Drosophila melanogaster: one gene and its partner. Changing the gene in region 1 together with any one later gene gives a genetic interaction. Each region holds a gene or a part of one and is shown in the gene's direction. Other genes may lie near its edges. The genes, in order: Rtca and Xbp1.

The links.
Region 2: of Rtca (region 1) and Xbp1, changing one suppresses a phenotype caused by changing the other (phenotypic suppression), as found in Drosophila melanogaster (one study listed by BioGRID).

The regions. Positions count from the first base shown.
Region 1 is NC_004354.4:2,070,241-2,075,518, forward strand, and holds Rtca (RNA 3'-terminal phosphate cyclase), read left to right. Parts: upstream 1-2,172; 5' UTR 2,173-2,485; intron 2,486-2,876; exon of another isoform or gene 2,877-2,893; 5' UTR 2,894-3,470; coding exon 3,471-4,556; 3' UTR 4,557-4,626; downstream 4,627-5,278. Other genes in the region: CG4199 (uncharacterized protein), read right to left, coding at 1,120-1,186; CG4045 (uncharacterized protein), read right to left, coding at 4,627-4,731, 4,798-4,899, 4,967-5,278. UniProt on the Drosophila melanogaster protein: Catalyzes the conversion of 3'-phosphate to a 2',3'-cyclic phosphodiester at the end of RNA.
Region 2 is NT_033778.4:21,141,816-21,146,449, forward strand, and holds Xbp1 (X box binding protein-1), read left to right. Parts: upstream 1-1,733; 5' UTR 1,734-2,061; coding exon 2,062-2,321; intron 2,322-2,385; coding exon 2,386-3,049; coding exon of another isoform or gene 3,050-3,645; 3' UTR 3,646-3,935; downstream 3,936-4,634. Other genes in the region: CG9406 (uncharacterized protein), read left to right, coding at 660-672, 731-968, 1,021-1,231, 1,284-1,382; Hmg-2 (high mobility group protein 2), read left to right, coding at 4,486-4,634.

The DNA.
Region 1 (5,278 bases):
CCCTGCACTGTACATTTGCCAATCTCTTTCAGTTCTCTCATCTAATTAGCAATGATTCGCCATGTTAATAACACAGCTGCGTTTTCCACACACACACGGACGCGTATACATGGGAGCAAACCAAACCGGTTGGCCTTGTCCAACTCAAGTGAGTCAAAAGCCAGGCCAAATAATAATAATAATAACAATTGCACGAGAACAAGTTTCACCGAAATATATAACTCACAAAATCGGGTATCACAGAAAAGGACGGACAGGCCGCAGCTAAGAGAACGTTCCGTCTGATATTAAGAGCTTGCCGGCAGTTGGCGAACGAATGAACTGGAGACCGCCGTTGGAGCAGCCAATTTAAGCGAACTGGGGCCTCATTGGAGAGCCCAAGAGAACGAATGCAAGACATGGCAATAGACAATAGGCAGGCACACAACACAGACGAAATTCCGATGGCGGTGACTAACCGCAGTGGTACAGTGGCCATTGCCTAACAGAGACACGCAAAGATACCCTGTAAGACTCAGAACAGGAAACTTCAGAGCGTCGCAACCATACATAGGAGCTCCTGTAACTCCATTCAAGGTGGTAAAGATGGCCATGCTATTGGATATCCACAGGGAAACTGTCGCTTTAGGGGAATTAGTACCCGGGATTAAGTATTCCCGCATCGATAGCTACTGTGGCAATGACGCAGCAGCAGTTCAAGCAAGTTGCGCCCTCCCGCCGTCCCTATCTCTTTGCCAATCTCTTGGACTTGTGCCGCTGAGACAATCATCTAGGCACCTACGCCCGGCCCGAAAACACCCATCTAATGCGGGTCATTCCCACTCTCCTAATCACAACTCCAAGCCATTTGGCCTCGTTTAGTTGGTAAAAGGAACACGGCACTGGTGGCAATCGGATCATCTACGACATTACCACGCACTTTTCGAATTGAAGTCGGAAAACGAAGGGATTGGTTTAAGTACATTTGGAACTTTTTTTTTGGGCAAGATGATCTTATTTTATTGGGAAGAAACCATTTGCGAGATTAGAAGTGGCGCAGTCAAATTGGAAATGCGACCTTGCCTTGTTGTTTGGCAATTGACCTTTCGAAAACTATTCATCTGTAAATCGTGCATTTACCTGTCGACTTCTCCTTTTTGGGAGTGCTGCCCGTGGTCTTGTACTCCTTGCAGTTGACGGAACCCATTGTGTTTAACAGGCGGTTGTTGATGTGGCTCGCAAAAGACGGGGCGTTGAGTATCCTCCAGGATTGGCTGGACGGGAGCTTGCGTATCCTCAGAAGGCCTTCAAAGGCTCGTTTCGTTTTGACCAAGCTCAGAGCTGTGCGAGGGGACTGCCACCTGAAAGTTGAGTGGCCAGTTTAGGAGCTTTACTTTTCACTTAATAACAATCAATCACTGTGCCAAAGCTCGTTATCAGTTAGTTAGTTCCCGCGTGTTAATCATTTCTATTTAATTATTCCTCCACAGCCTGAGTCATCAGCCGCAGATGGATGTGCTGAACTCCCCCAAACGTGTCCGAGATGCTGTTTTTTGCAGCACACACAACACACGTCGTTGTTTATTTGCGAATTGCTTTTAGTCGCCAATCATCACTCACCACTCTCCACAACAACACTAAACAAAACAAAAACAAAACAACTGGAATATCGCGTGGAAGGGAGGATGAGAGCCTGGGAGCGTGCAACAGGTCGGGGGTCCGCGTCTGTGCCGAGATAAGCGAAGTGGAGTCGAGTGGACCAGGAACGCTGCGAGAGAGCCGGGAGAGCAAGAGCCAATGCAATGCGAGGCACGTCTGGCGCGCGTGAACTGCGGACCGCGTATGGCGCGCAACTTCGTCGCTGGATTCGACTGGAACTGGAAGCTTCGTGCCTCCCCAACACACACGCACTTCTGGGCTCTGTGTGTGTCCGTGGACACAGGAACGGTCAAGATACTAGGAGCCAGCCCTACTGTGTAATCGCAACGCTCCCTGTTCAATGCATCTCTCATGTGTATAATGCGATTATAGATGAAACAAGCGCCAAGACTACCTAGACGAAACAAGAAAATTTCTTGGCAGGATAAACTACCTATGAGGTACCCAATGCAGAGCGCTGGAAACTATAACGCTGACCGCAGTTGTCAGCCTTTCCGACCATTCTCGTGTGTTCCACTAACAAAAACTTCGCGACCTTGCCGTCGCCGCACTTCACTTCGAAGCAATCTCCTCCACCAGCCTGTGGCCAGCACCAAGAAGTCGTAGAGGGTAACACATAGCTGGCCTTCTTCGCGATTCGGACCAATGCACTTGGCGACCAACATATGTACCTGTTGGCTGAGCTGAGCTAAGCCCATCGTGCCACAGTCAGTGCCGGCAGAATTGCATCACCGCCAGCGGAACTAGAACAAGAACACGAAATACCAGCGTTTTATTGCGGTTGCCATGACTCTTCGAGTGGAATAACCAGAACGATAAGTAAACCAAATTTTCCGTCACTGCCTTCGTAAGTAATTGGGAAATGGCTGTTCCTTAGACCTGTTGATACGGATAGTACCGAACAAATTGTTGATATCTCGCTATCTCGAGGTAAACATTGTATCTTTGGACACATTGTATTCTTGTCTTTGGTTAAGGAGTTCGAAAATAATGCTCTTAAGAGCGTACACATTCAATATCATTCTATACGCATGGAAGCCATGTCAGGTGTATTATGTCCTAAGCCCATTCCGTCAATGTCTGCTTGAGCGAATGTTGACACAGTCCAGTTATGCGGATAGGCTTATTTTTATCAGACCCAGGGAATGGGACTCTCAAAATACAGTTGAGCCTTAAAAACTCGAAGAGCATTTTCCAACGGAAAGTGGTTTCAATTAAATGTATTAGTTATTAGTTACTTTTTTCTTATTTGCAGCCCTCCTACTTTGGACACGGACAGGCAAAAAGGCCAGTCAAGCATTCCAGTGGAGAAGGAGGACCAAGCTAGCGATTGCCCAATTGCCAAGTGATTCGCCTTCGATGCCTCGGGCCAGTTAAACCACTGCTAAGCTGGACTAGAACAAGATACATAATTGCCTTCGCGATGGCACGTTGCAGATAAGTTAATCGCCTGAAGGCGGCACGTACGACCATGCGCCGGCGGACACTGCACACTTACACAGCCATCTCTAGTTAACTTTTAACTATTGCGCTGGTAATGTATTATTTTGTAAAAGTTCGCTTGTTTACGTCTGGCCAGTGCTGCCGGACCAGTTCGAATGGTGCGCGCCTTGAGTGGTTCCACAGTGGCAGGTGTTTGTTTCCAAGCAAACGCGAGCGTCGGGCACACTGCCCGGATCACAGTGTGCCGTCCCAATCGAGTGAAATGGAGCTGTTATTCTTAGCCCCTGTCATTGTGATATTTGATTGCTCCGATTGTTCTGACACACACTTGGCTGACAACCTGAGAGGAAACCAGACTGAAAATCCCTGAACATAAATAAATTGGGAAAATGGACGCGGAAAAAATGTTGGAGATCGACGGCTCCTACTTGGAGGGCGGCGGGCAGGCCCTGCGCAACGCCCTCAGCCTCAGCTGCATTTTGGGTAAACCGGTGCGCGTGGTAAAGATCCGGGCCAGCCGCCCGAGTCCTGGGCTCTCGCACCAGCACCTGCATGGGCTGAACCTCCTGCGGGACATAACCAATGCGGACGTGGTGGGAAACTACTTGCTCTCCTCCACAGTGGAGTTCACGCCGCGCACCATTTTGGACAACACGTATCGCGTGGAAACGCACACGGCGGCCAGCATTACTCTGATTTATCAGATGGCGCTCCCAGTACTTCTCTTTGCCGGACGCCCGTCCCGCCTGATCGTATCCGGGGGCACGAACGTCGACTTTGCGCCTCCGGTGGAATACATGCAGGAGGTGCTGCTGCCCAACCTAAAACACTTCGGGGTTAGTTTCGACCTGAAGGTGCAGCGGTACGGCTTCTATCCACGCGGCCAAGGCAGATGCCAGTTGGACGTGCAACCCGTGACCAAGCTGAATTCCGGAAAATTAGTGGCTTTCGGCCGCATCAAATCGGTCAGCGGAGTGGCCTACTGCGCCGGCCGCTTGCCGGTAAATATTGCTATTGACATGCAACAGACGGCTCAACGCGAGATACATCGTTTGTGGCCGTCCCAGCAGTGCAGCATCGAGCCGATTAAGCATTCACGCCAGAAGGCATTCCACAACGGAGCCGGCATCCTGATGACTGTCAACACGACCTCCGACGTTGTCCTAGGTGCTTCTGCATTGGGCAAAAAGAGGATCGACGGACACGTTCTCGGCTCAGAGGCGTCGTGCCAACTGGGCGACTACATGCGCAAACAGGTCTGCGTTGATGATTACATGCAGGACCAGCTCATCATCTACATGGCCCTGGCCGTGGGCCGCTCAACGATGCGCACAGGCAAGCTGACCAATCACACGCGCACCGCCATCAATGTAGCCGAGCAAATGACAGGGGTCAAGTTCGATGTGGCGATGGAGCCCGGCGGCCAGATGCTAGTCAGCTGCAAGGGCTTGGGACATGTGAACAAGTTGATTTAACAATCGATAGATCTCTTTACTCTAAGGAAACCTTAAATTAATGTCTACATATATAGAGAATATACGTGTCCTAAAGGCGCCGGAAAATGGCCAGAAAATGATCGCCCTTGTTTCGAACCACCTTAGCGCCCTCCTCGCTGCTTTGGTACAGCTTCGGGGTGATGGGATCAGCATTCTGTGGGTTTAAACGTAATGATTAATGTGTGACTTGGCTGCGTGATCTCGGTTTTGAACTACGTACGGCCTCCTCTTCGGTAAGACGCTCGTACAGCGGATGCTCCTCCATATGTGTCACTATCCACTTGTGCAAGTCCTCAACGTCCGTCATGGTGTACAACAGACCCTGGGTAAGCAGACTAAGCAGTAAGCAGACCGCATTTCGAGTACTTTCAGGAAACTGTTGGACTTACCCCCTTCCTGAGGATATAGGCATATTCGGAGAGTAGAGCCTGGTTGATAATACGCCACTTGTGCTTGGCGCGCTTGAAATGTGGGTCCGGGTAGAGGAAGAACATCTTCTCCAGCTGGCCCTTTACGAAGTAGTTGGGCAGATACTTCATGGCGTTGGTGCGTAAGCAGGCAATGTTCTGGTATGCACCCGTATCCGCGCATCGTCGACGCAGTGCCGCAATCCGGTCCACCACGTAGTCCGACACCTTGACGCGGATTTCCATGCCGATGGACAGCTTCTCGGGGAACATCTCCCCCAGGGTGACGAGAAA
Region 2 (4,634 bases), on another chromosome or scaffold:
CTGGAAAACCCGTTGGAATCGCCGAACGACGTTACACACCTGCGACGATATGTGAAACGAGTTGCTCGTTTTCCATTTAACGCTGCATTCAATTGCAATTCGATTTTCCCGCAACGCGAACCGCACTCCACGGAATATCGAAAACAAATGAAAACTGAGGTGGCGCGTTGAGTTGAGTTGGAAAACCTGTTGCTGCCAAACGACGCACACAGATGCAAATGCTCAGCGACAACAAGCAAATGCAGTCTATTTCGTCCTTTAAAAGGCACTGGAAAGTCTCGAACTTCACTGTTTGGGTAACATGAAATCTTTAGCTAAACGATTGTCTCAACTTTAATTGCAAATTAATGGGAAACAAATTAAAAACACGAAACGAAAAACAAAACAGAAAACAAAATAACGCGACGCTCAACACGACTGCTTCGCAGGCAGTTATCGACTGATGCTTATCGGTCGATATTCACCACACCTAGTATGACCACAGGGGCGATACCCTTTGCTTGGCGCCATTATCGATTTCCGATCGTTATTTTCAAATTCGAAATATAAACAGCAAACCTTTAATAATGCTTCAATCAGAAAACATATAAATCAGGAAAAAATAAATCGTATTTTAAAATTATCAGTTTATTTATTAAATTCTAAAGTATATACCCGCGATGGAAGTTGGTGGTAGGCATTACATAAAATGAGCATCGCACCTCCGCTTGATATCACTAACCTTTTGTAGTTACCCTAAACAACGAACTCGAGGAAAAGATTTCGGAAGCATTTTGCATATTTGATACTCATGGCGATAAGTATATTGATTCCCGCAATGTCGGCAACGTGCTCCGATTTTTAGGTTGCGCGCCCACCGAAAAAGAGGTCGAAGATGTCATTAAAGCCACCGATTCCGTCGACTATCCAGGCGAAGCCCATTTGGTGAAGTTCATGGAACACGTTTCCAAACTGCTGATGGATCGACAGTTATTCAATATACTTTAGGTTTGTTTAGCAACTAACGATATTTGTCCACAGAATGGAACCAGCCTCGTCGGAAAAGCTTCTCGAGGCCTTTGAGACCCTGGATCCAGAAAATAAAAAATATCTGACCAAGGAGTACTTCGGCAAATTAATGGCGGAGGAAGGAGAACCTTTCTCCGCTGAAGAATTGGATGCTATGTGGCCTGTGGCAATTGATCCCATTACTGGACACATTCCCTACACCTTCTACATAAATCAACTCAGGGTAAGATCGCATTTCCCAACTACTTTTGATTGGATTCATCTAAAATTTCCAGCACAAGCCTGATATCTATGAAATTGCCGAGGTTATCAAGGAGGAACTAGCACAAGCCGAAAAAGAAAAGGGCAAGAAACCACAACAACCACTGTTTTAGATGCCCCTTTAATCAAGCAATTGCAAATAACGCGGAAAATAAATTTATACATTTTATAACAAATAATTTCCTTTCTCGTTTTTACTGTTCCACATTGAGATATAGACGGTCACACTGCCATGCGCAATTCGAGATGGCATAGTCGTTGTTCTATGTTTGGATATTAAAATGAATTGTGTGAAAAATTTAAGGAACTATTTTTTGTTTTAAGATATTGCCTGAAATGTTACAATATATTTATTAAATCCAATAAAAAAAAATTTACAATACATTTAAGCGCTTTTACAAATCATCGTTGCTCTAAATTAACTGAATTTGTAATCGATAGCCCGATACGTGCTGCTCCATCCCTCATTACCCCAACTCTTCTAGAAAAACACGTCAGCTTTTCACAGCCATTCGGAAAAGAACACGTCAGCAGAAAGGAAAACTGGTCGGTCGATATTGCAAAGGTGGATGAGAAAATTGCGTGAGACGGAGCCAGAAAAGCCCGAGTCGGCGGCGATGAAGAGATTCAAACCAGCAGAGCGTCCGAGAAGCGCAGTCGAAGTTCATGAGACGACCTAAAACAAGCAAAAGTTAAAATACGCTCTTACAATGCAAATCTAAGTGGAAAGTCGCTTTTCACAATTGCACACAGCACACAGCAGTTTATCATTTAGCCCCGAACCAGTTAAACATGGCACCCACAGCAAACACAGTGCTAATTACCGTGCCGCGGACAGCAATCACATCGAATAATCTGCCCAAATTGCGGCCCGCCCCCCTTACGGCAGCTCTGCTGAAGGTGTCGGCCACGCCCTCCGCCTCGCCCACGCCCTCGAGTTCGGGATACGCATCCTCGTCGAACATGGATGACGATAACATGGCTGCATCCCAGCCCAAGGCCAAGAAGCGTCGCCTGGACCATCTAACCTGGGAGGAGAAAGTGCAAAGAAAGTAAGTCCACCCAACTTTTAACCAAATTTGAGCGCCTTATTTAACTGTTATTATCGAACAACAGGAAGCTAAAGAACCGTGTGGCCGCCCAGACATCGCGTGACCGCAAGAAGGCACGCATGGAGGAGATGGACTACGAGATCAAGGAGCTGACAGACAGAACGGAAATACTACAGAACAAGTGCGATAGCCTGCAGGCCATCAACGAGTCACTGCTGGCCAAGAACCACAAGCTGGACTCGGAGCTGGAGCTGCTGCGCCAAGAACTCGCCGAACTGAAGCAGCAACAGCAGCACAACACCAGATGCATCAGCCAATCCAACGCCAGCGCAGGCGCTGAGGGCTGTGCGTCCACCAACCTTGGATCTGCAGCATCCAAAGCTGACCCTCTGCCGCAGGGTATACAACAGGTGGACACACAGTCGTCAGCGCGTCTGCTGGCGGAGCAGCTGAAGAGCAGCAAGAGCCTGGCCTCACTCTGGAAAGTTGTGGCCCTCTGCCTACTCTACAAGACATGCTTGGCGTCGACGAAGAGTTCGACGTCAAGCGCCTCGAAGAGCTGGCCGAAAGTCTGCTCGCAGATATCACAGCAGACCTGGAAACAGGCGCTGGAGCGAGCAGCCCAGCTGCTGCCCAAGATGCAGGCAACGCAGAGCGATTGCCTGGACCAATGGTGGGGCCCGCAGCAGAGCGCTTGGAATCCGACGGGCATAGAGCTAATGGCCTGAATGTTGAGCAGGAACAGGAAACCGAGCACAAGGTCAGCCTAAATGTGCAGATGTTGAAGATAAATGGAAACCCACAGCATACCACAGCAGCGCCAGCCTCGAGAACAGCCACAATCACAGCGACAGCGGCCGCCTCGCAACTACAGGCCACTCCGGACACAGTGTACGGCACGTATGATGCCAAGACGAACTCGATCACCATCGTGATGGACGGGGATGCGGTGCCGGTGAACGAGGCCGTCGAGGAGATCTACTGTGACGGCGTCAGCGCTGGCGACGACTCAACGGACGTGATCATGAAGTGTCCGCCGCCAGCGACGTCTCCGTCACAGGTCTATCTCAACGTGATGAACGCCGTCGACAATTCGGACGACGAGGAAAGCTTCGATCCGATCGACCGATTCCTACGTCCGCGCGTTAAGGCGATCTCCCCGTTGGCCAAATCCCCCGCATTGTCTCTACACTCGGCCACCTCGGACCATGGATACGAGTCCATACTGGGCTCTCCCACATCCGTGGCTCTCACTCTGCCCGCAGATGAGGACGATTTCCCCTGGGAGAGCAACTTTGACGAGCTGTTTCCCAGTTTGATCTGAGTTTTTCAAGCTGAAAACTTCGTTCTGTCTCTCTTTTATTGTTAAGTTTGGCCGGCCGCCGTTTGTTTAAGTTTTTTAGTTGATAGGCTGTACATAAATTCATAATCGAAGGCTTTATATATGATACTGTAGTTAGAGCGCTAAGTTTAGCTGTAGGTTTCCATTTATATTTAACAATCTCTAACCACATAGGCTTATGATTACTCTTATATGTATGTATTGTGCTCAAAGAATTTGAAAAAAAAACATTTGACTAAAAAATATTCAAAATATAAACCAAACCAAACAACAAGCTCTTTGTTTTTGTTTACTCTAGGCGAAACAGAACTTTGAACTGCGTATGATAAATAGTTAATCACGCCACTTCTCTAGCATCACGCCACTTTTTTATGACGCAATTTCTGCGTAGATGATGGGACAGTTTTAGGTGTAAGCATATGAGTCATTTTGTTTTTATTAACCAAATATATATATATTACAAAAAGTGAGTTGAACTGACTGCAGATAATGCGGATAGGTGAAATAAAACCACAACTATGCTCTGAAATATATGCACCTTATTTATTAGTATATTATTCATTAATAAGACGAAATACAGCTCTGTTTTTCTCCAAACTGAACTAGGATTTAAACAAGATTTTGCTAAGCTCGAAAAATATATTTTTTAAAGAATATAAATAGAGCCACCCTAATGCGCCAGCAAAAGCGAATTTGTTTCGGAACTAGTTCGAAAAAGTTGTTTATAGACTTGAACCAGTTTTTGCTTACGAACCACATACCTGTGATTTTGCAGAAAGATAAACAATTTTTAAATGCAATAGAGTGTACGGTTAAACAGAAATGACGGAACCAACGAGCAAGACACCGGATGCGGTTCCGGAATCACCCGTATCACTGCCCATCGCCTCCCAATCCATGGATACGGCGACCATTGAAGATTTCGACGAGGACAAACCGGCCAAGGGAAAGAAGAAAGCCAAGAATCCAAA